5 linked regions of the Nothobranchius furzeri genome follow. The main gene of each other region encodes a partner of the protein of the gene in region 4 in a complex. Links are inferred from orthologs where the notes say so. Each region holds a gene or a part of one and is shown on either strand. Other genes may lie near its edges. The genes, in order: fgf23, kl, fibroblast growth factor receptor substrate 2, fgfr1a and plcg2.

What was found.
Region 1: the proteins of fgfr1a (region 4) and fgf23 are in contact, whole or in part, in a cryo-EM structure (PDB 7YSH), measured with the Homo sapiens proteins. The link is inferred for Nothobranchius furzeri from reciprocal best matches to the Homo sapiens genes FGFR1 and FGF23. Residues at the interface, in NP_075598.2 of Homo sapiens: Glu159, Lys160, Glu162, Lys163, Lys164, Leu165, His166, Ala167, Val168, Pro169, Lys172, Gln244, Asp246, Val248, Glu249, Arg250, Ser251, Pro252, Val279, Tyr280, Ser281, Asp282, Pro283, Gln284, Pro285, His286, Ile287, Ala314, Gly315, Val316; in NP_065689.1 of Homo sapiens: Leu31, Leu32, Gly33, Ser34, Trp36, Gly37, Tyr43, Ala45, Thr46, Ala47, Arg48, Asn49, Ser50, His52, His66, Ile75, Arg76, Ser77, Glu78, Asp79, Ala80, Gly81, Val83, Val84, Tyr93, Phe108, His117, Gln118, Thr119, Asn122.
Region 2: the proteins of fgfr1a (region 4) and kl are in contact, whole or in part, in a cryo-EM structure (PDB 7YSH), measured with the Homo sapiens proteins. The link is inferred for Nothobranchius furzeri from reciprocal best matches to the Homo sapiens genes FGFR1 and KL. Residues at the interface, in NP_075598.2 of Homo sapiens: Asn272, Gln288, Leu290, His292, Ile293, Asn296, Gly301, Pro302, Leu305, Pro306, Tyr307, Val308, Gln309, Ile310, Leu311, Lys312, Glu322, Leu326, His327, Leu328, Arg329, Asn330, Glu334, Asp335, Thr340, Leu342, Leu349, His351; in NP_004786.2 of Homo sapiens: Ser539, Gln540, Phe541, Asp543, Leu544, Asn545, Val546, Tyr547, Leu548, Trp549, Asp550, Val551, Lys555, Arg556, Leu557, Val560, Val563, Thr565, Lys566, Arg568, Tyr571, Val573, Ala576, Glu625, Arg628.
Region 3: the proteins of fgfr1a (region 4) and fibroblast growth factor receptor substrate 2 are in contact, whole or in part, in an NMR structure (PDB 1XR0), measured with the Homo sapiens proteins. The link is inferred for Nothobranchius furzeri from reciprocal best matches to the Homo sapiens genes FGFR1 and FRS2. Residues at the interface, in NP_075598.2 of Homo sapiens: His409, Ser410, Gln411, Met412, Ala413, Val414, His415, Lys416, Leu417, Ala418, Lys419, Ser420, Ile421, Pro422, Leu423, Arg424, Arg425, Gln426, Val427, Thr428, Val429, Ser430; in NP_001036020.1 of Homo sapiens: Asn25, Val26, Asp27, Asp28, Leu33, Leu47, Thr49, Arg50, Asp53, Ser54, Val55, Trp57, Leu60, Cys61, Leu62, Arg63, Arg64, Tyr65, Gly66, Tyr67, Asp68, Ser69, Leu71, Ser73, Phe74, Gln81, Thr82, Ile86, Phe87, Ala88.
Region 5: the proteins of fgfr1a (region 4) and plcg2 are in contact, whole or in part, in a cryo-EM structure (PDB 8JQI), measured with the Homo sapiens proteins. The link is inferred for Nothobranchius furzeri from reciprocal best matches to the Homo sapiens genes FGFR1 and PLCG2. Residues at the interface, in NP_075598.2 of Homo sapiens: Lys504, Asn506, His541, Lys542, Lys598, Ser602, Tyr605, Gln606, Arg609, Glu612, Tyr613, Ser616, Lys617, Lys748, Asp755, Arg756, Val758, Ser762, Gln764, Glu765, Tyr766, Leu767, Asp768, Leu769; in NP_001412678.1 of Homo sapiens: Phe528, Arg540, Thr568, Phe569, Pro570, Asn571, Phe577, His585, Cys586, Arg587, Arg589, Ser590, Thr591, Met592, Gly595, Leu601, Thr602, Asn604, Leu622, Arg623, Cys624, Ala625, Glu626, Phe627, Glu738.

What each region holds. Positions count from the first base shown.
Region 1 is NC_091741.1:43,105,338-43,110,689, reverse strand, and holds fgf23 (fibroblast growth factor 23), read left to right. Parts: upstream 1-2,541; 5' UTR 2,542-2,705; coding exon 2,706-2,940; intron 2,941-3,020; coding exon 3,021-3,124; intron 3,125-3,541; coding exon 3,542-4,000; 3' UTR 4,001-4,120; downstream 4,121-5,352. UniProt on the Homo sapiens protein: Regulator of phosphate homeostasis. Inhibits renal tubular phosphate transport by reducing SLC34A1 levels. Up-regulates EGR1 expression in the presence of KL. Acts directly on the parathyroid to decrease PTH secretion. Regulator of vitamin-D metabolism.
Region 2 is NC_091750.1:61,951,689-61,957,746, reverse strand, and holds the start of kl (klotho), read left to right. Parts: upstream 1-1,908; 5' UTR 1,909-2,649; coding exon 2,650-3,366; intron 3,367-4,089; coding exon 4,090-4,520; intron 4,521-4,586; coding exon 4,587-4,666; intron 4,667-4,760; coding exon 4,761-4,923; intron 4,924-5,743; coding exon 5,744-5,849; intron 5,850-6,058. Other genes in the region: pds5b (sister chromatid cohesion protein PDS5 homolog B), read left to right, coding at 1,018-1,050. UniProt on the Homo sapiens protein: May have weak glycosidase activity towards glucuronylated steroids. However, it lacks essential active site Glu residues at positions 239 and 872, suggesting it may be inactive as a glycosidase in vivo.
Region 3 is NC_091744.1:79,891,413-79,897,590, reverse strand, and holds the start of fibroblast growth factor receptor substrate 2, read left to right. Parts: upstream 1-2,808; 5' UTR 2,809-3,011; intron 3,012-6,178. UniProt on the Homo sapiens protein: Adapter protein that links activated FGR and NGF receptors to downstream signaling pathways.
Region 4 is NC_091757.1:34,245,765-34,250,494, reverse strand, and holds part of fgfr1a (fibroblast growth factor receptor 1-A), read right to left. Parts: intron 3,549-4,730; coding exon 3,427-3,548; intron 2,979-3,426; coding exon 2,868-2,978; intron 860-2,867; coding exon 669-859; intron 553-668; coding exon 430-552; intron 348-429; coding exon 277-347; intron 193-276; coding exon 55-192; intron 1-54. UniProt on the Homo sapiens protein: Tyrosine-protein kinase that acts as a cell-surface receptor for fibroblast growth factors and plays an essential role in the regulation of embryonic development, cell proliferation, differentiation and migration.
Region 5 is NC_091744.1:86,606,145-86,611,603, forward strand, and holds part of plcg2 (1-phosphatidylinositol 4,5-bisphosphate phosphodiesterase gamma-2), read left to right. Parts: coding exon 1-68; intron 69-379; coding exon 380-498; intron 499-802; coding exon 803-888; intron 889-965; coding exon 966-1,083; intron 1,084-2,602; coding exon 2,603-2,771; intron 2,772-2,850; coding exon 2,851-2,949; intron 2,950-3,261; coding exon 3,262-3,348; intron 3,349-3,420; coding exon 3,421-3,590; intron 3,591-3,663; coding exon 3,664-3,864; intron 3,865-5,124; coding exon 5,125-5,247; intron 5,248-5,383; coding exon 5,384-5,459. UniProt on the Homo sapiens protein: The production of the second messenger molecules diacylglycerol (DAG) and inositol 1,4,5-trisphosphate (IP3) is mediated by activated phosphatidylinositol-specific phospholipase C enzymes. It is a crucial enzyme in transmembrane signaling.

The sequences.
Region 1 (5,352 bases), on a different chromosome or scaffold from region 4:
TCCCTGCAGGAATGTGAATCTGCCAGGATGACAGGCAGCTTCCGCACATACCTGAACTATAAAATGCTCCACTAGCCATCTCTGCCTCCCTGCATCCCCAACCTTCACCCCCACAACTCATCCTCTGCAGGCAGGAACCTTTTTGGATTCCAGCTGTAACCTGCAATCTTCCTCCTCCTATTTCAGCCGTTTTTAGTTCAAGGTCAGAGTCATTGATCAGCCTTTGCCTCAACCTCTGTGGCCACAGGGTGGTCTGCAGTTTGAAAAAGGAATTTAAAACATCTTTTTGATTAATTTTAGCTGCTTTAGATGCTTACTTCTATGAATTTCAAACACCACCAGCTACAAATGCAGCACATGTAATTTGCTCCTTTTAAGAAGTGCTGGATTTGGGATATTTCTAAGGAGGAGACTTCTGCAGAGTTCACGCGGTGAACGATGAGCTGAGCCACGCAGATCTGAACCTCACCTCTGCCGCTGCAGGCCTCCCCTGTGATACCAGCGTCAGTCCTGACCCCACAACCCCACATGCTGACGCTATCACACGCTGCTCGCCTTGTCTCCGTTTATGCAAGCACAACGGCTACGCAGCGATGCCAAATCTTAAAAGCAAACAAAAGCTGCTGTTGAGGCTGCATGTAAAAGCACTAATGTACATTTTTAACTATGAGTTACATGAAAATGCTCTTTATTTTGAAAGCTGTATACTGTGTGGAAGTAAACATCGTGAATGCACGCTAATGAGGACTTCATTTGCTCATGTCCAGAGGCGTGTCCAGGGAGTGGCCTGGGGTAGCACATACCACCCTTGGAATCTGATTGGCCACCCCAGGTGCCACCACATTAATTTACCTTTAGTTAGGCTTTTCATTGTCCACAAAAGGCTTGGGGGTAAAACAAGAAAAGCATAACCATTGGTGCCACCCATGCACAAAGTTGTGCCTCACCTGGGCCACCCCATTTTAAAAGATCTGGACACGCCACTGCTCATGTCACCTCTCCAAGATGTCTGGTTTTGCACCTTATTTAGGACGTCTTGATTATATATTTGATTCTCCTTTCCACAGCTTATCCTAGGTCAGATTTCAATAAGTCAAGGTGAGGAATAACTTCTTTGATGTTTGAATGTATATCAGCATGCCTGAGTCCAGAGCTTGACTAGGGTGTGTGTTCTTCATGTGTTATTTTTACTTTTTGGACTGAGCCTCCACTCTATTCCTCTCCTCTGTTCTCATATACCTCACCTTCTGCCTTAGTTTTGGTTTGCTAATCTCTGTAAAATGAGACGAAACAAATTTTAGTTACATGTTTCTGATAACAGACGATGCTAAGTAAAGTTTTGTTCCTTTTATTTTTGTACGTATGTGCTGTGCACAGCAGTCTACTGTATATTCCTGAAATACCAAATAATAAAAGTTTGTTTTTCTTTTTTTAACTGGCTGCTGGGAGTTTGTTGTTTCTGTGGTTTAACTGGATTTGCTGACCTTGAACTGAAAGATGTGAGTCACTCATTTAATAAATACATTTGTAGTGGTCTCTAGGAATTAATCCAAGTTGTACTCTGGGGAGGAAAAACTGACCGTTGCACCATTTCCAGGAACTTGTAAACGATAACGACCTGCACTTGTACTGCTTCGTTCAGAGTCAAAGGTAGAGAGGTGGTAGTGATCCACGGGTGAGTCCATGAATGTTGAGTGACAGTGTGATGCAGATCTGGCAGTTTCACATCTCTTTTCTATCAGAAACTGATGCAGGAGATAGGTGTAGGAGACTATTTTCATGTTCAGCCTGCATGAAAAACTCAGAGTGACCCATTATAATCAGAAATAATCATTAAAAATTGGTTTTTAGTGTTCCACATTTTTAAATCATGAAAAATTAAAACATTTCAAACACAAAATATTAGTTTAAATTTTTAAAACAACAAAGACCCCAAAATACATGCCAAACATAAAATTTACAACAAAATAATTTTTAAATCAAGTCCTGTCCCTAATTTACAAAACAAATGTAAGGTTAATTAACAGATTAAAAAATCTTTCTGACTTATTCCATGAATTATAACTTGTCACCATAATAATTTCCTGCATGAATGAACCGTTTATAAGAGGGGAACAGACTAAACGCAGTTAGGTTTCCAGTGTGGCAGCTTTCTGTAAAAGATGCGTCTGTTTGCTTTCCTCCCAACAAGGAAGTGTCGCCATCTGCTGGGTAAAAAGTGGAAACGTGGATGAGTGCAGGTGTGCAGAAAAAGCAGAGCTGGCATAAACAACTATTTTAACTCTTTAATTATAGAGCTGTCACTCTTGGTTGGGGAAATAATCCGCGATGTGATGAAAAGCCTTTAGAGGTTTTTTTTTTCCTTTTGAAATATTACACAATGCAGCTTCCTGCACTCCGAACTAAAACCTGAAGCGGTGGTTTAATAAGAAACGGTGGATGAGTCAAGAAGAGAACCCAAAAATAAAAGTCTTGATTTTTAACCAAGATCATGAAATAAACAGAGAGGTGGAAGTGGTCCTTCCGCTGCTGAAACCCGCACCTCTGCTTTGGGGGCGAGTTTCTTTTTCTTTTCTTTTTTTCCGCGCAAAGGATGTGCGCAGGAGTGGCGCTCAGATGGGCTTTAAATAGGTACTGTCACCAAACTGTGGCACAACAGAGCATCCGAGCGCTTCCAGCAGTCCAAACCAGCGGTTTGATCCAGGATGGACGTCAACAAGCGACTGGGGATGAGAGACACGATGCTGACGCTCTTACTCGCTGTCCTGCAGGGACTTCCTGTCGGGGAAGCGGCACCGAATCCGTCTCCGTTAGTTGGATCCAACTGGGGGAACCCGAGGAGATACGTTCACCTGCAGACCTCCACAGAACTCAACAACTTCTACCTGGAGATCAGATTAGACGGGTCTGTGGGCAAAACTACAGCCAGATCTGCATTCAGTAAGTTGATATTTGGATGAAAATAATGTAGGTTTATAGACCAAGGTCAGGCTGCTAAAAGTGTTTTTTTTCTCTCGCAGGTGTAATTCTAATGAAAGCTGAAACAAGGGAGCACGTGGCCATCTTCGGTGTCAAAAGCAACCGTTACCTGTGTATGGATCAGGAGGGGATTCTGTTCAGCTCGGTAGGTGTTTCAAAGTTATTTTCAAATTTCCAGCCTAAAACCTTATTCTGAGTTTGTTTATCGGTCCTATGTGCTTTTACGCATCTGGCTGTGCTACTTTTACGCATGCGCACCGCAGTTTATTTTCTAAATAACACTTAATTTCTTTAGTTTGCTGCTTATTCATCTTTAAAATACTTCAGTTGAAAGCTCGCATGTAATTTTAGTCGATTTATCAAACCACGAGTTTGTTTCTGGTGTCATTGTGGAGTTTTACGCACAACTTTTACGCACAGGATTCCTTTATTTAAAACGTCGGTTGGATTTATTGGCATCTGAAAATTGAATAAAAATAAATTCAAGGCATTTTTTCCGCCTAAATAAAAGTCAGCAAACATCGATCAGCTGGGGTTTGATGGCTTTCTTTTCCTCTTTTAGCCCATCTGCCAGAGGGACTCCTGTCTGTTCTACCACAGGCTTCTGGAGAACAACCGGGACGTCTACTATTCTACTCTAACCGGGATCCTGTTAAACCTGGAGGGCTCCCGGCAGCTTTACTCTGCGGGTCAGAACCTGCCGCAGACCTCCCTCTTTCTGCCCAAGAAGAACACGGTGCCGCTGCAGCGCCTTTTGCTGCACAGAGACAAGAGGACTCGGGTTGCGGACCCAACAGACCCACACAACGTCTTGATTTGGCAGCCTGAGGACGAGTTGGACTCCAGGGCGGCACAGGAGGACGACATCGACCTGGATGTGGAGGTAGAGTTGGAGACGGAAACAGAAGTCGGGGATGATGGAAGAAACGTTTCCCGGGAGACGCCGCTGGCTCCACACGACCCCTGGAACGTGAACTTATCCAGGCAAGGCGGCGCTCGGAGCACCGGGACCACGGTCTGATCTCGGCACCATGGATGATTTTAGAGTTAATGTGCTCTGCCTGAGTCCAATTTAACAGTTTAGTCCAAACATCCATCTGAAAAGCTGAATATATATATATTTTTTTTTTTGGGTAAAATCGGTGGTTTGTATTGACTTGTAACCTTTTTTGCACATTTTCTTCTGTCTTAAATCTAAAAAGCAACTAAATACGTTCTCTTCCATCATCAGACCTTAAAGAGAGTAATCAATTTTAGAAAAGCTTCTGCATCTTTGGCATCTGAGCATTCATCCAAAATGCTGGAATATCAAACAGGATGGAAATTATTCCTCTCTTTCTCGGTTGGTCTGACAAACCCACAATGATGTTTCCAAGACAGAAGCCTGATTTTTCCTACCTCTGGAGAACTGAGCGGCCTGCTGTCAAACCAGACAGGCATCACTAAAAATAAATATATAATTAAAGTAGAGTAGAAATGACTAGAGTTATAGTTTAAATGTCTTTGTTATACAATCTTAAGTATATTTTAAGAGTTGAACATACTCTCAAATCATCATTATGACTTATTTGCAGTTTGATCTGATAAATGACTTGAAAGAAAATGACTACAGGGTAAATAAATTCTACAGAATATCAAATGTAAACTCTTGTTGTGTGATCAGGTACCGGAAAACAGAGAGAAAGCAGTCTAAAAGAATATTTATTTATTTAAATACATTCCTTTATTGTTATTTATGGTATTTATAATAATGCTTACAGTTACACAGAAACACGAGTTTACTTTGAATGTATGAGCTGGAGCGAGTTTTGCTTGAATGTGCTTTAAATAAAGAAATCCGATTATCATAGGAGCCATTTTTGGAGTCTGTGTGATGTTGTATGTTAATAAAAAAGCTCCTTCATCAATGTGAGATCTTGGTTAACAATTAATGCAATGGATGAATGGATTAATGGATGAAAATAAATCTTATGGCATTGCAGAAGCTTAATCTGCTTAATAGCGTAATCAACGCTAACGGTGGTCCAACAAAGTATGAGCGTGACTTTTTTAGGTGGTGACTTTTCTTTTGGCTAGGCAGTGCATCAGTTACCAGGAAATGAGAAAGGACTCTTGTAAATGTAGAACTAAAACTGCACTGGTTCATAAAATAATAAATTAGACTTTTGAGGATTTTCTTTTGAAAGTCATTCATTTGATGTTATTGTCAGTAAGTTCCTTATTAAAGAAGGTAAATCCGAGATAATTTTATGCCTCAAATATGAAAAAATACAAACAGGTTTTTTAAACTGAACTAGTTTAATTATGTAATTATATAACAGTAAAAAGGAAATAAAATTAGCAAGTTTACATGTATAGGACTGGATGTGGCTT
Region 2 (6,058 bases), on a different chromosome or scaffold from region 4:
AGCACGTCAGACAGTTGAATGAAACCGAGTCTGACTCACCGAGGTAAGATTTAAATAACACGAAAGCCAATACCTTTTGTTTTGGATGTACACTGTAAATTTTTTTTAAACGTACTTTCGCTTTTAAAAAAGAGAGATTTAATGTTATGCCCGACTGTGCCTGACAAAAGTATTTTAATTTTATTTATGCATTTATGTCTGTACTGACTGGACACTGTGCCTAATTGGTGTTAGACAGGGCATTTTATCTACTGTTAGTATGAATTGGCCTATCTATCAGCAGCAACGTTCAATAAAATATACATTTTCCATTGAAGTACCCATCTTTCTTGTGTTTATTATCATTTTTCACACAATTAAAGCAATCTCATACTAAATTTGAAAAAATTTTCATAATTATCCGATTAGTCGACTAATCGTTTCAGTAGTCGGTGACTAGTAAACTATTAAAATAGTCGTTAGTTGCAGCCCTAGTGTGTTCCATTATTTCCGTCTGAATGCCCTGAATGGCTGCACTCGGCTTCATATTCTCACTCATCAGAGCAGGAAACATTTATAGAAGTAAGGGTTGCTGCTGTAAAACAGATTTTTTTGTGTCGTTTATGATTAAAACAATTTGTAAGATCTATCCTTAACTTAACTTTTTTATTTTTCTATTCGCTACTGCCTAGTCGGTGTAATAAAAACTCAGGTAGAACCCGGAGGACAAACAAGGAAATGGTGTCAGGCGGACACGAAGGGAACAGGAAGGTAGACACCGGGGTGGAGGAGAACATCCGGTACTTTCTCAATAAAAGACGACGCGCTAGTTAGATTTGTGTTCATCGAAAAAGAACATTCTGGACAATATTTGTCATTTTACTGGATTGTTGCAATAACAAATATGTTTTCTTATAGAATCGGTGTATTTGTCTGCTCATACATGAAAAAGATCACGTTACCGTACTTTTATAATCTGTAATTAATTTGCGATTAATCGCAAGTAAAATGTCTTTTTTTTTTTTTATTGTCTTTCAGGGTCGTAAGAAGACAGCAGGACGCAGAAGATGAGCTTTGGAGTAAAATTTAAAAAACAAAACACAACGATTCTTCTGTCGTCAAGGAAACCGTTTCAGGAAAGGAAAAAAAACCCATGAACTTTGAACTTTTTAAACTTTTCATATGCCGATGTTCCCGCTGTTACACACTTGCATTTACCACATGCACACCACATCAGAGCGTCCGCATGGTCAGCTGTGGCTCGTCGCTTCGTGTTGCATTGTGATCATGTTCGCCACGTTAGGTAGAACTCATCTTAACATGAAAAACAAAAACAATATGGTTTGTAAATAGTCTCCTCTGTCTGTTTGTTGTTCTGTTGTTGTGTTTGATGCTGACTGGGGAGGTGCTGTAAAGCCTTTTGGGTTCTGCCGTTATTATTAAAAGCTAAAAAAAAAAAAAGACCGATCACCATCAACTTTTTCTGTGTTAATTGTGTCATTTTACCTTTTATTGGAATGATTTTGTTTACACCTCTGTATATTAAAACATTTCTTCTTCTTTTTTACCATTATTGAAAACTTTAAAAACAAACAAAAAAAAAGCAATTGTAGAGTTGCTTCTGGTTATGACTGTAGTGTGCATCTGATTTATTTGGTTAGATTTGTACTCACTGCTAGAGGAACGTCGTTTGTGTCACTGCTGGTTAATTTGGCTTCACATCCACCCAGTCAGACCCTCTGTTGTAACAATATAATTCTCTATAAAACCAGACCTGCTCGCTTCCTCTTTATTTGGTTTGAAACGTTTAGTTTTTCAGACTGAAAACAGACGTTCTAGTTCTTCAGATCCAACTGCGGCATCTGTCGGAGTCACGCGCTGTCCTCGGGCTGCCCAGCATCCCTTAATAATCCTCTTCCCGTGCTGTAAATGGGGCTGCTCCTGCTCCACGTCGCTTATGCACAAACGCTCCAGTGCGTCCGATGGAAAAACACTCCCGTGTTCTTCCCGTTTGTGATCCGTGACAGAGCCTGCAGGGCAAATTCGCTAAACGATGAGCAGAGCTGGACGTCTGAGGAGTGGTTTGATTATACACTTTAATAGCATAAACAACATATTTGAACACAGTTGGCTCCAAATATTCAAAAAGTCTAATTAGATGTAAATGACTATGGCCTCTCAGAGAAAGAACCACTTTTTTATTCTAAGACATACCCACCACCTCAGGTATTTATACTGATGCTGTGATAACCTGGGATGGGTTTGTGTTCCCTAGCAACCATCTGACTCATCACATTGTCTCTGATGAGATTAGGAATGTAGATTTAGTTATACATGTTTTGCAGATGGATTAAAGCTATGATCTGTTGATGGGTTCACATTAGAGGCTTTGGCACCTGCTCTCCAGGAGATTAGACTGAGATTAAAGGCTCAATATGAGCAGAATAGAATAAAATAAAGTGATCGTGCCTTATTTTGTCTTTGTGGGAGCCTTAACGTCTTGTGCCCTGAGCCCTTCCTGCGTCAGGTGCTTTGGTTAATGATTGACAGGTTCACAGCTGGCTGCTCGCGCGTCGCAGAGGTCTGGTTAGTCACCAAAAAGCCACCAAGCATGGTGGAGTGTGAGCCAGCTGAGGACCCGGACTTCCACGGCCAGTAAGAAAACCAACCATGAAGGGGTTTGTCGCTGTTCTCACATTTGTGGCCTTCGCTGCTGTTGGCGCAAAGCCCAATGCGGGTCTGAAGACGTGGAGCCGCTTCAGTAAACTTCCCTATCCGGGAGACAAGGCTTTTCTCTACGACACGTTCCCCGGGGACTTCATATGGGCCGTGGGCACAGCGGCGTACCAGGTGGAGGGCGCGTTTGAGAAGGACGGCAAAGGGCTCTCCATCTGGGACACTTTTACGCGCGGAGGGAACCGCATGGCCACCGGGGACGTGGGCAGCGACAGCTACCACAACATCCACGCGGACATCCGGGCCATCCGCCAGCTCGGGGTGACCCACTACAGGTTCTCCTTGTCCTGGTCCAGGATATTTCCGAACGGGACGCGCGGGAGTTATAACGACATCGGCACCAGCTACTACCGGACGCTCATCAGGAGGCTGAAGGAGGTCCGAGTCCAGCCGGTGGTCACGCTTCATCACTGGGACCTGCCCGAGCAGCTGCAGCAGACCCTGGGCGGCTGGAGCAACCCAGAGATCGTGGGGATATTTGAGGATTACGCAGATTTTTGCTTCCATGCGTTTGGGAATGATGTGAAGTTCTGGATCACCATAGATAACCCGTTTGTGGTGGCGCAGTATGGCTACGGAACCGGGGTGGTCGCTCCTGGGATCAAGAACGACCCTGATCTCCCTCTCCGAGTGGGACATAACTTACTTAAGGTGGGTATTGATTTAAAAAATGTGCTGTTTTTTTATTAGTCACAAAAAGTATCTGTTCAAAAATCTAATTTTTTATTCAATTTTCCTTCCATTTAGTATCTTGAAAATAAATTACAAAAAAAAATGTTTATTACTATGATTTTTTTCCCATTAAAATAGTAAAAAGCACTAAAATATGGCCAGGGGCGGTTCTACATTTACATTACAGGGGGGCCCGACTGCTTTGTTGGAGAGGTACATCTGTATGAAAAAAAATAATAATAAAAAAATGTGCCTTTAAGTATTTCAAAAATGTGTGTGTAATTCCAACAACATAATAATTCATGGTTGCTTTAGATACAACAGCTTTTCAATACCTTTCCAAATTTAACTATTTTGCAAAACTACATTAACGTCTTGGTAATCTGCATCAGAAAAAACATCAAAGTGTTTATCTTAACATCTCTTTTCAACTAACCCCAACCCCCATATAATTGCATTCACATGCTTTTTCTCCCCACATCTCATATTAGGCTACATTAACACAAAAAAATCTGCACTTATTCAGCAGGGAGGCCACTGGGGCTCCAATCTTTTCTGTCATTTTCATGCTTTTTTTTCCAAGTAAAAATAACCATTCAGATTTTACAGTGTAATTTATTATGCACACAGAACTTTTTTTTTAACTTTTTGACCTGCATGTAAAAGTTTATTCTTTATGTATCTCTCTTGTCTCTGCTGCAGGCCCATGCAGCTGCATGGCACCTCTACAACCGCCGCTATCGGCCTCGGCAGCACGGGAAGGTCTCCATGGCTCTGGCCTCCCACTGGATCAAGCCCAGCCGTACTCGCCTGGAAAGCCTGCGGGAGTGCCAGTGTTCCCTGGACCATGTCCTGGGCTGGTTTGCACAGCCGCTGTTTGTAGATGGAGACTATCCAGCCTGCATGAAGGAGAGGCTGGGTTCACGGCTCCCCTCCTTTACCCAGGAGGAGAGGGAGCAGGTCAGAGGAACAGCTGATTTCTTCGCCCTCTCCCATGGAGCTACCCTGAGCTTCCAACTCATCAACGACAGCCTGAAGTTTGGGCAGCTGGAAGATCTGGACCTGAGGATGCTGCTCTACTGGGTCAACGAAGAGTATGACAAGCCACCCATCTTTGTGATGCAAAGCGGTTGGTAGGTTAGCACACGGACATATCCGTTTTAGTTTGGGTTTGTGTTGAACTTGCGTTTGTTTTCCAGGTATGTCCTCGGTAACACCAAAACGGAAGATCCGAAACAAATGTACTACCTCAAGAGGTTCATTGCAGAGACACTTAAATGTGGGTCCATCGGATTCCACCAAACTCATCGAACTGTCTCGTCAGACGTCTCTGAGGTCAAACTAAAGCCTGTGTGAATGTGTTTGTCGTCCAGCGATCGTCGTTGATGGAGTGAATGTGATTGGATACACAGCCTGGTCCCTGATGGACGGCTTTGAGTGGCACAGAGAGTACGGCATCCGACGTGGACTTTACTACGTCGACTTCAACACTCCTGACATGAAGAGGGAGCCAAAAACGTCCGCCACCTTTTACAGGTACATGTGAGGGCCAACACGTTTTGGTGTCCAAGCAGAAATCCTGAGGTTTCTCTCAGATGGCACCACCCAGAGCATCTCCCTGTTTCTGTAATACTGCTGGAAACGATGCCTCTCATTCGTGAACACACATAGTTACTGTTCTCATGTTATGCTGTTTATTACTTCATAATTTAAAGACTTACTTGTCTATAAAGAAGTTCACCAACTCTGCATCTATTCAACATCCGAGTTGAACGCAGAGACCCTTCTGTTGTTGAAAAGCAGGTCCAAGGTAAATGCTTCACTGCATCTGTACGTAAGCCGATGTCTAATTCTACTGGCTAATGCTAAGCAGCGGTGAAGTGAAACTGCATGGAGCTGTGCGAGATGTGCTTGTAAAAAATGAATAACCGACGTGTTGCCTACATCATATCACAGTAAAGGTTTAGATTGTTTTATTGTGTTTGTGAAGTGCCTTGTGAGTTTCATGTTGAAAGCACTATAAAAAAATCTTTGTTCTTCTAAAAACATCAAACTGACTCAAATTATTTGAACTTAATATTTTTCCTTGATGCTCCTCTTCTTCTTCTTCTTCTTCTTCTTCTTCTGACTGACAAGTGTCAACTATATGAACAAACCAACAGATTATATTTATGTAAATATTCAAATCCTGTATTTTTTTAATCTCCAATATATATATATATATGTATATAAATATATATATATATATATATATATATATATATTACCATTTTTATACTTTATACAATATTTATACTTTATACTTTGTACAATATTTATACTTTATACTTTATACAATATTTTTTTGTTTCTGCAGAAATGTGATTCAGAAAAACGGATTCCCTGAACTTCCAGAAAACAAGCCGGCACAAGGAGTCTTCCCATGTGATTTTGCCTGGGGGGTTTCAGCCAACTCTATACAGGTGTGTGTGTGTGTGTGTGTGTGTGTGTGTGTGTGTGTGTGTGTGTGTGTGTGTGTGTGTGTGTGTGTGTGTGTGTGTGTGTGTGTGTGTTTGTGTGTGTGTGTTTGACCAGAGAATAAAACACTTCCTCAGGGTCTTAAGAAAACATTACCTTTGCAATTTCAGAAGATCTGTAACGCTCCCCCTCTTTATCTAATATTGTGTCTAAC
Region 3 (6,178 bases), on a different chromosome or scaffold from region 4:
CCTGCGTGTCTCCTGTACGTCTGTCTGTATCTGAACATGCCTGGGTGTTTATCTACAGCTCATTAAACACAGCATGTGCAGAAAACCCTGATTACTGTAATCATTGATCCAAGCCTTCTGCAACACAGAAACACAGAATCCACAGTGATTAGTCTAAAGTACAGTATAAATATAAACTACAGTACCAGTCTAAAGTAAAGTATAAATACAAACTACAGTATGAATATAAACTACAGTACCAGTCTAAAGTACAGTATAAATATAAACAGTCTAAAGTACAGTATAAATATAAATTACAGTATAAATATAAACTACAGTACCAGTCTAAAGTAAAGTATAAATACAAACTAAAGTATGAATATAAACTACAGTACCAGTCTAAAGTACAGTATAAATATAAACAGTCTAAAGTACAGTATAAATATAAACTACAGTATAAATATAAACTACAGTACCAGTCTAAAGTAAAGTATAAATACAAACTAAAGTATGAATATAAACTACAGTACCAGTCTAAAGTACAGTATAAATATAAACAGTCTAAAGTACAGTATAAATATAAACTACAGTACCAGTCTGAACTACAGAATAAATATAAAGTACAGTACCAGACTAAAGTACAGTATAAATATAAACAGTCTAAAGTACAGTATAAATATAAACTACAGTACCAGTCTAAAGTACAGTATAAATTTAAACTACAGTACCAGTCTAAAGTACAGTATAAATTTAAACTACAGTACCAGTCTAAAGTATAAATACAAACTACAGTATAAATTTAAACTACAGTACCAGTCTAAAGTACAGTATAAATATAAACAGTCTAAAGTATAGAATAAATTTAAACTACAGTACCAGTCTAAAGTATAAATACAAACTACAGTATAAATATAAACTACAGTACCAGTCTAAACTACAGTACCCACATCACCCCGCTTCTCCTCCAGCTTCACTGGCTGCCAGTCAACTTCAGGATTCATTTCAAGATCCTGGTTCTGGTCTATAGGACCTTACATGGACAAGCACCATCTTACATTGGTGATCTTCTTAGTCCCTTCACCCCCAGCAGGTCCCTGAGGTCCAGTGATCAAAGCCTACTGGTTGTGCAGCACCAGGCTAAAGGTCAAATGTGACAGATCATTTGCTGCTGTGGCCCCCAGACTCTGGAACTCTCTCCCCCTGAGCCTGAGATCAGTGGACTCAGTGGTCTCCTTTAAAAAGCAGCTGAAGACTCACTTGTTCAAGCTGACTTTTGTATGACCTTCTTCACCACTCTCTTTATTCTGCTCTCCCCACCTATTCCACCTTCCTCAGGATCCACTGATTTCTCTCTTACCTATTCACTCTCTCTTTCTTTAAATTTTTAAAATCACAATTGTCTACTTTTTGCTCATTTTAAAGGGGCATTATGGAAGTTTGACAGCCAAAACATGTATAGAAATAATAAAATTCTTCTTCATACATTCTCCTGCAATGCCCTGGTCCTGTAGAATGAGCCCTGGCATTTTTACTGTGATTGCCTGTTTTTCTGTAAAATCACAGAAAAAGAGAGTTGCTCGGGTCGAGCAGGCTGCTTCATGCGCATTCACGCTCAGGCATAGCCCTCCAAACCGTTCTTTGAACGTTGTTTCAGCTGTCATTAAGAATATAAATGTTACAGATACAGAAGACGTCACTGGTGGTTTATCTCGCCTAGTAAGACTTCGGGCTTTCGTGCAGACAACCTGGGTTTGATTCTGGGTGTGAACATAGTTTATTTAGAGTTTCTTTTTTACATTAATGGTATATTCTTTTTTACAGTAAGATGTCCAAATTTTTATTTGAGACTGGCCAAACGGCATTGAATTCACAGATAAAAAAGATGTGGGTTCAACTTTCATTTTGGAACAATTTTTCAAGCAAGGGAAGGGAATGATCTGAGCATGCAGGAGGACTGACCCATCTTAAACCTTTGTCGGCTGTGCTGAAGAGAAAGGTACAGAACCAAATTATTTATTTAATTAACTGCATGTTCTCATGTCCTCTGTCCCCCCCCCACCCCCCCACACACACACACACACCAAAGCTGGGGCTAGGCTCCTCTCACCCAATATGATGTAACACTGGATCACTCTGCAGCACGTAATGAGGTAATCTATGGTCTATGTAGTCTCTTCCACACTCTCGTTCCCCAGTTCCATGCTGCCATCCCACGGTGTGAGTGTGTAGTGCCGGTGATCCAACTATCCGTGTTACTCGTTGATGACCGACTACTACGTCACAGAATATTCGATGAGGACACACAGATAGATCACCAGTATCCAGCCTGTTTTAGTGGTTTCTCTGCTCCAACACATTTGATTCTATGGTTGAATCACCTGTGCAGCAGCAGCTCGTAAGGCTCTGCAAAATAAATCAGGTGTGTTGAAAGAGTCCAAACTCAAACCTGCCCTGAGGCCTGGAACTGAATACCTGGTTGTAGGGAGTGTGAACTTTGGCTCTGCTCCTGCATCAGCCCTTTGCTCGAAGCATGTGCGCTTCCTCAAAGTGCACTTCGCAGAGGATCGGAGTCAGCAGTGAGGTAAGGGCACTCTGGTCCTGACTCGAGGCCTGCCCCGACTACGTACGCGGCGCATGCGCAGTGCGGTGCGTAAGGTGTCGGAAGTTGCGGCAGCAGCTCGCTGTGATTTTTAGCTCGGGAGCAAACGAGCAAGAAAAGTTTGTTTTTAGCCGTAGAAAGAGTTTTGGGACGGACCTTTTCAGCCCGCAGTGAACCACTAAGGACCGCAGATGGATTCTGACTGGTTTAGATTGATGCTTGTTTGTAAAGAGAAACCTTAGGTGCGTTTTAAACGAGTTGTGATTGTTTTTTTTTGGCGCTCCAGCGGCGCAGAGGAAACATGGAGGATCTCCTGTTGTAGCAGCCGCTAGCTTTAGCTGAACGCCTGGATTTACGGACAGACTTGAGGTGCTCCTCCATCTGGATGCCCCAAAGGTTTGGATGCTGGAAATCACCCCTCTAACCAAGCCTGGTGAGTATGGACCGATGTACGGACAGGTTAGGGCTTCTGCGAAGAAGGTAGCGGGCGTTAGCTGCTGCTAACTAGCTGCTGCTAGCTAGCTGCCATTACAGCAACTTCACATCGAGAAGTTTCACACTACAGCGGCTGCGTGATTCACATTTCGCAAATGAACCGCTAAATGTGCGGCTCGCACACGGTTTTAACCGTGAGGTTAGTTAATCTGGTTAGTTATCAGCGATATAAACTGAATGCGCACGCGCTGAGGAAAGTGAAAACACTCAAGTGTCACCGAGAGGTCCTGAGATCTCGTTATTGATCATCCCGGTGCTGGAGTGACGTCAGAGCTAACAGATTAACTATCAGCAGATTCGCACATTACAAATCTGATCAAGTGTTTTAAGGGTTTGGAAATGAAATGGTAAATGCCTCGTTATCTATACAACACCTTCTACAGTTCTGCAACCCCCCAAAGTGCTTAGACATGCACTACATCATAGCCACAGCTGTCCTGGGGCTCACTCAGATGCGCCTCTGGTCCTGCCCAGGTACACAAGACAGAACCTGGGCTTGAACCTGCAACCCTCTGGTCACAGGGTTTGGGTTCTCACAGGACGGGTACTTAATGTCTCTGACACAATTGCCCCAAAGTCAAACATAAAGGTTAGTAATCGCTTCACTAGGAGAAAGTATTTCAGAATTAATTGATTTATTTAACATTTGGAGCAAGTTTCAACAGAAATTTGCTTTGAATCAAAATGTGATTAGAAACAAGTGTGTTACTGCTCAGATTCAGGATGGATCGTCATGGTAGTCGGGGCCGGTTTCAGGTCAGCTTAGGGTCGAAACACTAGGGCTGCAACTAACGATTATTTTCATAATCGATTAATCTGTCGATTTTTTTTTTCGATTAATTGATTAGTCGGTTTGTTATTGTTTAGCTATTTAACCTATACAAGTGATGAATACATTTCAGTTAAGAAAAAGAAAAACATAGGAGAATTGTGCAATTGACTGCAATCATTTTATTGCACATGAACACAGTCAGCGGTGTAAAATGAGCTAATCAGTCCAGAATAATTTTTTGGCATCAAAATATAAGAGGTAAATTCCATAAAAAAATAATGTTGAATCTAGAAAAGAGTTTGTAAGTGGTATGCATTGCTGGGGGGTGAGTGTCTTGTTCCCCATGTAGTTGTCCATCGTTGCTTGTTTTTTTCTGCATAAGAAACACAAATTGACTGACATAAGTACACATATAAAATAAAGCAGCACACACACTACAACACTAAATCAATATTATATTATTTGAATTAATTAACAATAGACAGTGATCATTTATTTTGATAAAAATGTGTTGTGAGGCGTTTTACAGCGTTAGATAGTAAAACAGCCTTTTAATAGTAAAAAAATGACTTTTTCTGAATTTCTCCTGTATTTAAAAATTGAAAGCGTACAATTATGCCGCGTTATATTCACCTGGACACAGCTTGTCTTTATATTTTTCTCCGCAGAGTTGTCCTTTTTTGAATGAGGAACATAGTTATGGGTTTGTGCCGTTTTTCTCTTAACAAGAACATTCTTATAAACAGACGTGCTAAATTTGGCAAGCGCATGATACACAACACGGAGGAGATTCACGATTGCATTTAGTCAATCAGAAGTAGAACACCGTAGACTGACGCGGCAAAAAAAAAAAACATGTTTAACATTCACTATAACGAACTCAGCTAAAACACTAAGTCCCATATTTGATCTGCGTGTAGTGATGGACCACTAGATTTTGCTTATTTTCTGTTATTTACCGGGCTGGCTCTTCCTCTGCTGCATCAGCCCCCACATGTTTTCGTCTCAAATGTTCACTTAGGGACGTCGTGCTTCCGTGCCATGCTAGATGGTTTTTGCATATTTTGCAGGTCACCCGTCTTTTCATGGCATCTAGAGTGAAGTGCTCCCATACTCGTGAGGTTTTTGTCCGGGGTTTCTCTTCAGTTTTGTCGCTTCTATTTTTCTTCCGTATTTCTTCTTGTTCCGCCATCTCTCACAGCAAGATGAGCGTCAGTAACGTGATACGTCATGAAAACCGAGGGCACTTATTGGCTCGTTTCTTCTTCTACGGCTCCACTGGTAGATCAGTGGCTCATTACTGCCACACACTGGCGGCAAATTTAACAGATTGTAACTGATGTCAGATTGTGGTAAAAATAGACTTTATGCGGTAAAATGTGATTATTAAACAACTAATCGATGACTAAAAAAGTTGTTAACTATTTCAATAATCGATTATAATCTATTAAATCGATTAGTTGTTTCAGCTCTACTAAACACCTAGACTGCATGTCTAGAATGATGGTGAAGAAACAGGAAACAGATTTTTTTATATATCAGCTCTCTTGAGGCATTTCGCAAGAACAATAAAAATAAATGAGATAAATGAAAATGGGAGAAAATGGAAAATTTAAGAATAAACACATAGAATTAAAATTAAAGAGTTAATCATGGAAGTATGGAAAGTGCTCGGTTTCTGTGTTGTCCCTGAAAAAGCTTGAAAATCAAACTGCATTGTTTTCTGTTTAGGATAAACCAAGGTAGTTAGATGAAAAAAATGTAGTGATGCACCAATATGAAATTTTTGGGCCGATACTGATATCAAGATTACTGTTATGGCTGATAACCGATATTCACCGATACCGATATTCTGACATAAATGCTTCTAAAATCAGCAGATTTTGTATAGAATTAAATTATTAAAGCTGAATTTAAGAAGAAGAAGAAGAAAAGATCTTTTCTATAGCGGCTCTCAAGAGTAAAATCACGAGGCGCTTAACAAAAACAAAAAATACAAAAAAGAATTTAGAAAATGATTAAAAACATATTTAAAATCTGCAAAAAATAGACAATTGTGGTTAAAAATGTAAAGAGAGAGTGACAAGGTAAGGGGGAAATCAGTGGATCCTGAGGAAGGTGGAATAGGTACACTGTAAAATAAAACATATTGTTTCAACTTAAAAATACGAGTGAAAGGGCTGCATTAAAATTTTGAGTTAAATGAAAAAACAAAATTTGTTGTCTTAACATTACCATATTTTATCCCAAATTAAACTCTCTTGTTATACCAACATGTTTTTAAGTTAGTTTAATTTATAATCAAGAGTTGATTCAACTTCTTTTAGTTTTTT
Region 4 (4,730 bases):
CTGAACCAAATATGGACACAAGTTTGTCACTAAAGGAAAACTGCTGAGTCTTACAGTTCGTGAGTGCACGTTGAAGGCTTGTCCATTCGATGGCCTTCCTTTAGCAGCTTGAATAACTCCTCCACTGGCACACCCGGGTACGGAGAGCCTCCCAGGGTAAAGATCTCCCAAAGCAGCACTCCAAAGGACCAGCTGAAGACAATTAGGGGTGTGTTCGTTTTCTGTTTTCTCACACTTCACTAGGAATTAACAGAGCGAGTGATGTGATATACTCACACATCACTTTGGTGTGTGTATATCCGGTCAAACAGAGCCTCAGGAGCCATCCACTTGACAGGTAAACGGCCCTGTATAAAGAATGTGTGTGTTATGGTTTGATCAGGTTCTCCAGAGTCTGAAATCTAAACCTTTGGTTTCCAGAAGACTTACATTGGTGGTCTTCTTGTAATAGTCAATGTGGTGGATGTCTCTAGCCAGGCCAAAGTCAGCTATTTTCATTACATTGTCTTCTGTTACCAAAACATTGCGAGCAGCGAGATCTCTGTGAATGCACTGAACCAAAAGAACAAAAAAAACATCATGTTATAAAGACAGAACCCAAACCACAGAACCGGTGCTTAAAACGGATCAAATGCTCCCAAACTGCTCCATCTGTTGTATTTCGTTACCTTTTTAGAAGCCAAATACTCCATGCCTCGAGCCACTTGGTAAGCACAGGACACCAGGTCTTTGATGGACATGTTCTCAACAGGAACCTGGTCTGGGTTGTAACAGTACTCCATGCCTGGAGGGCGTCGGGCTCGCAAGTACTCCCTGAGGTTGCCTTTGGATGCATATTCAACTATCACATACAGCGGACCTAAAATGATCGGAAAACATTCAGATGTGTTTTAATGCAGCCGTGTTCTGCTGAGCTAAAGCAGGGTACATGCAGGAATCTCAAAACTATATTTAAGACTTTTTCAAGACTTTTTAAGACCTTGTAAAAATAAAATTAAGTCTATCGCAAAGAACTAATCAACTGTTAAACACTTATATATTGTTTTTAAATAATGCATCACTTCGTTGTCCACTTCATGTTGGGTTACGTCACACCCGGGACAGCGAGGCTTTAGCAATAATACGTTAACCCACGTGGCACAAAAATGCAAACCGTGCGCATAGAAGAACAATATATATATATATATTTTTTTTAGTTTACATTTTTCATAGCCACGAACTCTGAGGCTGTGAAAAAAGTGACAACTAAAATAATTCCCCCCAAACAAGGTCCTCACATGCTGCAGATGTGCATCTATTCTACTGTGGGTTTTGTAGTGACCTCTGACATTTACATACTTTTATTTTATTGAGAATATTAAAAAAATAATAATTATGTGATGTTTTTGCAAAATGCAAGCAATTTTCTACCAATCATACTGTTCAAGAGAGCTAAATGTAATAAACTGAAATAACTAATCAGATCATGATTAGGGATCATCATATAATTATTAACTATTATTATGAAACTAATTCACAAAACACCAAACATAAAAACACCCAAAAATATTCCAAATTACTGTAATCATTCTTAAGTAGGATGACCAGATCCCAACTCACCACAAGTGGGACAGAGACTGGGACGTGAAGCTTCAATGTAACCAGATAAAATTAAAATGTTTTTTTAATACATGTATTTTTAATCTATTCTGCCTTTTATCTCTAACATGACTGTTAAAATAATAATAATAAAATTATTATATAATTGATGTCTTATATATTCTATTTCTATTAAACTTGAACAAGCAAACAGCAAAAGCTTTATTGCCGTTTCTCAGTTCCTCTCCAGTTGCCGCAGCTTAACTCAGACTGGACCTTCTACAGCGGCTCTGAGTAACTTTAGTTACAGTTACTTTAAACAATCAACTGATTTTATAAATATAGACGGGCCCACTAGAAAATAATGAAGGTTTAAGCAGCTTTTTAAAGTTTTCACTGAATATTTGTGCTGACTTTCCACAACAGAATGATAGTAAAAGTACCAGTAACATCTTTAGATCTATTTATGTTTATTTTCCACTAATAACATCTCGTTAACGGATCCAAACTGTTTTGCAAGTTTTTCTTCTTCTCGACTTCAAATCTCTTATATAACATGTAGGGAAGACGTACCTAAAGGGTTTAGCCTGTATGCACCTGAAACAACAACCGCAGCACCTCGTCTGTCAGAATCTTCTTTAGGTCAGGATGGACCTGTCTAATTACTGAGAAAGCTGTTTTTGACCAACACTTGAACTCTGGAGTGTGTTGGGAGGTTTGTAGAAAAGAACAGACCAAGAACAAGCCTGTTTGTGAAATGCTGACTGCATGTTAGACATAAATAAACGTCTCCAGGTGATATCGAAACACACAACAATGTTTATAAATGAGACGAACGCAGCTCTATTACGCAGGGTCTAAAATAGCATCAAATCAACAAGATATCAGAACTACAGCGTTGACACCTACTAGAAGATGCTTTACTCCAAAACAAATCCTGTAAGAGACAAATATCAAGAGAGTAGAATAATAAAAACCTCGTGTTGCCGTAATGTACAAGTCATTAGGTTTTCTCTGGGTTTTTTTAATCAGGATGTATGGGAAAAAACGGCCGCAGCTGTAGTTGATTCAAGCTGTGAGCTTGGAAACTGGTGTCAGAATCATTTATGCATGCTTTCCTACACATCCCCCAAAGTTAGGCTCACAGCAGCTTCCTTGTCTGAGGGACAAGTGTGTGTGTGTGTGTGCGTGTGTGTGTGTGTGTGTGCGTGCGTGCGTGCGTGCGTGCGTGTGTGTGTGTGTGTTGACTGGAGTGGGTCAGTATCAGGCTCCTGCCTGTCTTATCCTACCATCCTGTGTGCAGGCTCCCAGCAGATTAATGATGTTCTTGTGCTTCCCAATGATCTTCATCATCTCCATCTCTGAGATCAGGTCTGACAGGTCTTTCTCTGTGGCATCAGCTGGAAAAAGCAGAAAACACCCCCATATTAAAATGCCTTTTCTCTGCTCTGAAGGCAAGAAGACCAACACTGAAGCTGTTAAGGAACAGTGTGTGTGTGTGTGTGTGTTAGAATGCACCCCATGGAAAAATCACTAAGTACAAGACAGTAAATGCTACCTTCCCTCCATCTTTACTCCTCCATGCAGTTTAATGAACACAGTTTTATAAGGGATGTCAAGGGTTCTCATAAATTTTTACTCCACTCTCTCATTTGCACAATGGCAGGAACCCAACCGGGGAAACTGCTCATCCCAGTTCAAGCCGTTATTGTGACTAAACTCTTGACCCGATGCTTCCCTTAAGCCATTTTTACCCTGGAGAGTTTCATCCCTGTGAAAATCCATCTCAGCATCCACCACAGAAAGGTGTATTGAGCACCACCTTTTTAGAAAAATCTCTTTACTTACATTTCAACATTTTCACTGCAACCTTGGTCACACGGTTTGGCTTCTCCTTGTCCATGCCGAGCGCCTCCCCCATCACCACCTGACCGAAGCAGCCTTCACCCAGAGGTTTCCCCAGAACAAGTCTGTGAACACACCAGCAGTTCGGTAACTCAGCTACAGCCCTATACAACAGCTTCAATTTTAACTTTACAGGGTGTGAATTTAGCCATCTATGAGAAATGTAACAAATTAATTCATTGTTAAAAGGACTTTACGGAGATTTGAATTTTTATGCTCGCGATTGCCCCCTCAGGCCAAAAGTGTAACGGCAGCTTCAATAGTAGGCTCGTGCACGAGGCGCGCATGCTGTACGTGCACACTCCTTAATGAAAATAACAGCTGAGACAGTCCTGTGTGTGTGTGTGTGTGTGTGTGTGTGTGTGTGTGGCCCGGAGGACAGAGGACAGGAGAACGCACAGCTAATTAATTAAATAATTTGGTTCTGTACCTTTCTCTTCAGCACAGCCGACAAAGGTTTAAGATGGGTCAGTCCGTCAGCTTCACAGAGCTTCCCTTCCCTTGCTTGAAAAATTGTTCCAAAATGAAAGTTGAACCCACATCTTTTTTTATCTGTGAATTCAATGCCGTTCGGCGAGTCTCAAATAAAAATTAGGGCATCTTACTGTAAAAAAATATACCATTAATGTAGAAAATAAACTCTACATAAATTACGTTCACATCAAGAATCGAACCCAGATCTTCTGCACGAGAGTCCGACGTCTAACTAAGTGAGCTACAGCGCCAGTTATGTCTTTCGTATCTGTAGCTTTTATATCCTTGATAATAGCTGAAACAAAGTTCAAAGAACGGTTCGGAGCGAAAATGTCTATTTTGTTGCTAATTTGCAGGAAATATCTAGAAGAAAGTAGCTAAGAGTCCTCAGAAATGTAGCTAGGTTCATCACTAGGCGTTAGGAACAGCGACAAAGTCGCTGAGTTGGCACTACCTCACTCCCTGCTGCTAAAGCTACGGATAGCAAATGCTACAGGCTACGCCTGAGCGTGAACGCGCATGAAGCAGCCTGCTCGACCCGAGCAGCTCTCTTTTTCTGTGATTTTACAGAAAAACAGGCAATCACAGTAAAAATGCCAGGGCTCATTCTACAGGACCAGGGCATTGCAGGAGAATGTATGAAGAAGAAATTTATTATTTCTATACATGTTTTGGCTGTCAAACTTCCATAATGCCCCTTTAAAGCAACAGCTTTCAGAAGAGAGCTAAAGGATTTTGGTAAAAGATTAAATTGTGATTTTTCTGGCAGAAAT
Region 5 (5,459 bases), on a different chromosome or scaffold from region 4:
AGCTGATGACCATTTTTATTGACGACACCATGAGGAAGACCAATGACCCTGAGTTCACAGTCAGCGAGGTAACAAAGAAAACTTGTATTTCTTCAAATTATTTCCAAATTTGCCTTTTTATTTTTTTAATATTCAAACTTAGTTTAGGCTAGCAGAAAGTTTTGAAGCTCAAAATGGCCACACCTCCCAGGCGTTTGAAGGAGTATTTTTATTTTTATTTACTTATTGTTTATTTTTCATTGATGTGTGTGCTTTGTGGCTGTGTGTATCTGTGTGTAACCTGGGCGCTAATTCTCGTGTCACATGGCAAATCAAATTTACCTGTGGGTATTAGTAAAGTTACCTTGACCTTGTGTATTAACTCTTTCTCTTCTTCCAGTTCCTCAGCTTCCTGTTTTCCAAGGAGAATTCTGTTTGGGACGAGAAGTTCTCAGAGATCATCAATCTGGACACACACAACCCATTGTCTCATTACTGGATCAACTCCTCGCATAACACGTCAGTTTGTTTAACAAACCTAAGTGGCTGGTTTTTGTCCTAAATATGTTCCTGTTAACTGATCAAAAATACCATCAAAAAAGATTTTACTAAAACTGAAACCTGTCTTCACTGGGAGCTGTGAGACCTAAACTGGGGGCTCGTCCGGGATCTCCCAAAATGAAAATGAATCACAAAAAATTGCCAACTGCATTTAATTTGGATATAAATGTTAGAATAGTGTTTAAAGTGACATAATAGATTATTTATTATAAATGAACTAATCTAGTTGATTTGTTTTCTTATTTTGTTTTGTATCCATCAGTTACCTGACAGGTGATCAGATTCTCAGCGAGTCGTCAACAGAGGCCTACACCCGCTGTCTGCGTCTGGGATGTCGCTGCGTTGAATGTGAATATCAAGCTAGTGAAGTAAACGAAAATGTTTAGATTCGTTTAACTTAATATTTTTTACTTGTTATTTATCAGTGGACTGCTGGGAAGGCCCCGGGGAGCCGATCATCTACCACGGCTGGTCCAGAACCACCAAGATCAAGTTTGAGGATGTGGTCAAAGCCATAAACGAACATGCATTTGTCACCTCAGAGTAAGAGCTTGTGAGGTTATTTCTGGTCTTGTACAGGTTTGGGGGTTTTGTCTTCATTTTAATTTTTACTGAGACAGTTTCATGAACCCTTAACTGTTCAGTCAGATGCTTTCTGGAGCACATTTTAGTCCCTCTAGCTTAATAAAACCTGTTGAAAAAAATGCTACTAAAATTAAATATTTAAAAAATTGTGGCCAGGTTTCAGTATAAACTTAAACATTAGCAATAAATATTATTACATTTTATTATTATTGTTATAATCATTGCTTTATTATTACATTACATTATATTATAATTACCTTTGTTGTTTCAAAAGAACAAAAAAATATAAAAAGGATTGTATTTCAATGTAACTTTTTTTTTACTGGTGTGGAATTTAAAAGGTTGATTTAGTCGTTATTTATTTCTGTTTTATTTTACTTTTTTATCTCTTTGATAGTTCCATCCATCCGCTTATCCACGCAGGGTTGCGTTGGGCCTAGTGCCTATCTCACGCACACACGCACGCACACGCACACACACACACGCACGGACACACGCACGGACACACATACCTAGGGCCAACGTAGTGAACCCACGCATGCACAGGGAGAACATGCAAACTCCTTGCAGAAAGACCTCAAGGCGACAGCGCTAACCAGTGCTAACCCTAGCCCTGCAGCCCTCTTTGAAAGTTATTTTTAATTTTATTTTAATACATGTTTATTGTATTATTTCTTTCTTTAATTTATTTCATAGCTTTTAATGGTCATCATCACGTGACTCGTTGTGGTCAATGCCTTTTGTTTTATTTTTTTTATTTGATGTAAATATGTTGTTTGGGGCTGTGCAGTGGTGCAGTGGTTAGAGCTGTTGCCTTGCAGCGAGAAGGTCCTGGGTTCGCTTCCCGGCCTGGGATCTTTCTGCATGGAGTTAGCATGTTCTCCCTGTGCATGCGTGGGTTCTCTCCGGGTTCTCCGGCTTCCTCCCACAGTCCAAAAACATGACTGTTAGGTTGATTGGTCTGTCTAAATTGTCCTTGTGTGTGTGTGTGTGTGTGTGTGTGTGTGTGTGTGTGTGTGTGTGTGTGTGTGTGTGTGTGTGTGTGTCTGTGTTGCCCTGCGATGGACTGGCTCTCTGTCCTGGGTGTACCCCGCCTGATTGCCCGTTGACCGCTGGAGATAGGCACCAGCCCCCCCACGACCCCGCGTGGACAAAGCGGGTTCAGAAAATGGACGGATGGATATGTTGTTTGTTCCGGTTTTACATCTTAATTCAGTTTTGCGTCATCTTGAATTTGTTTATTTTGCTTCCTGTTATTGCAAAAGTTTTTTCACATCATCATACATTGTGTTCTTTTCACAAATGGAAGGGAAATTTTTCTTTAGTGTCTGTAAAAAAACACAAGTTCCTGTATTTTCATGTGGAAAACTAGACTTCATGCACCATATATACATACATATTTATTTATTTTTGTTTTGTTTTATCAGCTTAGACACAATGACCTTAGTTAACAAGACTTTACTTCAAATGCTTTTAGCTTCCCAGTGATCCTGTCCATAGAGGAACACTGTCCGGTAGAGCAGCAGCGTCAGATGGCGCGGATCTTCAAAGACGTGTTTGGGGACAAACTTCTGACCGAACCGGTGGAGCACATGGCCGAGCTGCTGCCGTCACCCACTCAGCTGAAGGGCAAAATCATACTCAAGGTACTGAAGCACAGGGAGGCGATGGCGGAGGCGGCTTGATCTGAGACCACCGCTGAGTTTGGTTTTTGTTTACGAGCAGCACAAGAAGCTTAACGTGGAGGGAGGACCGGGAACGGTTAAAGACTTCAGGAGGGGCGAGAAGCAGGGAGACCTGGAGATCTGGGACCCTGTCGACCAGGTACCGTCATCTAAACACTGCATCAAACAATCAGCTAATGGTATGTCCGAGTTTTTGCAGATGTTATGTTTTTGCTTGGATTCTGTTGATTGGACAGAAACAAAGCTCCAGCTTGATTCCAAATTTAATTCAGCCAATTCACAAATCATTCCTTTGATTGCTGCTTATTTTTTTACGGGACGTCAGACATCCACGTTTCTTCAGAGGCCAAAAACGTTCCCAAAGCTCAGACGTCCCAGGAGAGTTGGCTGTTCCAACGTGTTGTTTTGCATGTGTAACTAAAGATGTAAAAACCTGCTTTCTCTTTACCAGCGGTGGAACAAACACTACTGTGTGATCTCTGATAACAAGCTGTACTACGCAGAGGAGTACGAAGAGGAAGATGAAGATATCAGGAAGGTAAAGTGTCCAGTTAGGGAGGGAATACCAATGAATAGAGGGTTGAAATGTGCATTTTGTTGTTTTATTCAGTACCAGGACCTGCACTGCTCGGAGCCGTGGTTTCACGGTCAAATGCACGAGGGTCGAATTATGGCCGAGCGTCTGATCCAGGATTACTGCGCAGAAACCGGCGGACAAGATGGCACCTTCATGGTTCGACAAAGTGACACGTTTGTCACTGATTTCACTCTGTCGTTTTGGTAATTTCTTGGTCAGGTTGTGGTACGATGGTGCTTTTTGTTTGTTTTCTTAATTCCCTGAACGTCTGTGCAGGCGTGGTGGGAGAGTCCAGCACTGCCGCATTCGCTCCGGCACAGAGGAAGGCCAAAACTTCTTCTACCTGACTCCAAACCTGCCCTTTCCCAGCGTGTACTCTCTGATCCAACACTACAGAGAAACGCCGCTGCGCTGCCAGGACTTCGACCTGCGTCTCACTGAGGCTGTACCCAAACCGAACCCTCACCTCCAAGAAGGGTTTGTCCTGCAACACATCTAACCCTTAAAAATGCAACGCAAAAAGAAACTCTTCCCAAAGTGTCAGCTTGTGCCTGCAGCACACGAGAAAAGGCTAATTTTACTGATGCTTAAAGGGGCATTATGGAAGTGTGACAGCCAAAACATGTATAGAAATAATAAATGTCTTCTTCATACATTCTCCTGCAATGCCCTGGTCCTGTAGAATGAGCCCTGGCATTTTTACTGTGATTGCCTGTTTTTCTGTAAAATGACAGAAAAAGAGAGATGCTCGGGTCGAGCAGGCTGCTTCATGCGCGTTCACGCTCAGGCATCGCCCGTAGCATTTGCTATCCGTAGCTTTAGCAGCAGAGAGAGAGGCAGTGCCACTTTGTCGCTGTTCCTAACGCCTAGTGACAAAGCTAGCTACATTTCTGAGGACCCTTAGCTACTTTCTGTAGAACTTTCTTCTAGATATTTCCTGCTAATTAGCAACAAAATAGCCATTTTCACTCCGAACCGTTCTTTGGACGTTGTTTCAGCTGTCATCAAGGACATAAATGTTACAGATACGAATGACGTTACTGGTGCCTCACCTAGTAAGATGTCTGACTCTTGTGCAGAAGACCTGGGTTTGATTCTGGATGTGAACATAGTTTATTTAGAGTTTCTTTTTTACATTAATGGTAATTTTTTACAGTAAGATGCCCAAATTTTTATTTGAGACTCGCCGAACGGCATTGAATTCACAGATAAAAAAGATGTGGGTTCAACTTTCATTTTGGAACAATTTTTCAAGCAAGGGAAGGGAATGATCTGAGCATGCAGGAGGACTGACCCATCATAAACCTTTGTCGGCTGTGCTGAAGAGAAAGCTACAGAACCACATTATTTAATTAATTAGCTGCACGTTCTCCTGTCCTCTGTCCTCCGGGACACACACACACACACACACACACACACACACACACACACACACACACACACACACACACACACACACACACACACACACACACACACACATACACACACACACACACACACAGACACACACACACACAAGGAACTGTCTCAGCTGTTATTTTCGTTAAGGAGTGTGCACGTACAGCATGCGCGCCTCGTGCACGAGCCTACTATTGAAGCTGCCGTTACGCTTTTGGCCTGTGGGGGCAATCGCGAGCATAAAAATTCAAAAGTCCGAAAAGTCCCTTTAAGTCAGTTAATCCCACAGTCACAGCAGGAAGGTAACATCCTTGTTTTTGTGTTTGTGCTCTGAAGATGGTTTTACAGTAATCTGAGCAGAGGTCAAGCTGAGGATTACCTGCTCAGGATTCCCAGAGATGGAGCTTTCCTCATCCGACAGAGAGAGGGAGAAGTGGACTCCTTCGCCATCACGTTCAGGTAAAACCAGACAGGAAATGTAAAGAAGTCCACCATGTTCTTCTGGTGTATCTTCACCTTTAAAATGTTAATAGATCTCCTCGGTTATTGAGATGCTTGATGCTTGATCCTCTGTCTGGTCACCTCCATCCTTCAGAGGGGACGGGAAGGTCAAACACTGCCGGATCCAGAAGGATGGGAACGTGTACGTCCTGGGCACTACTACGGAGTTT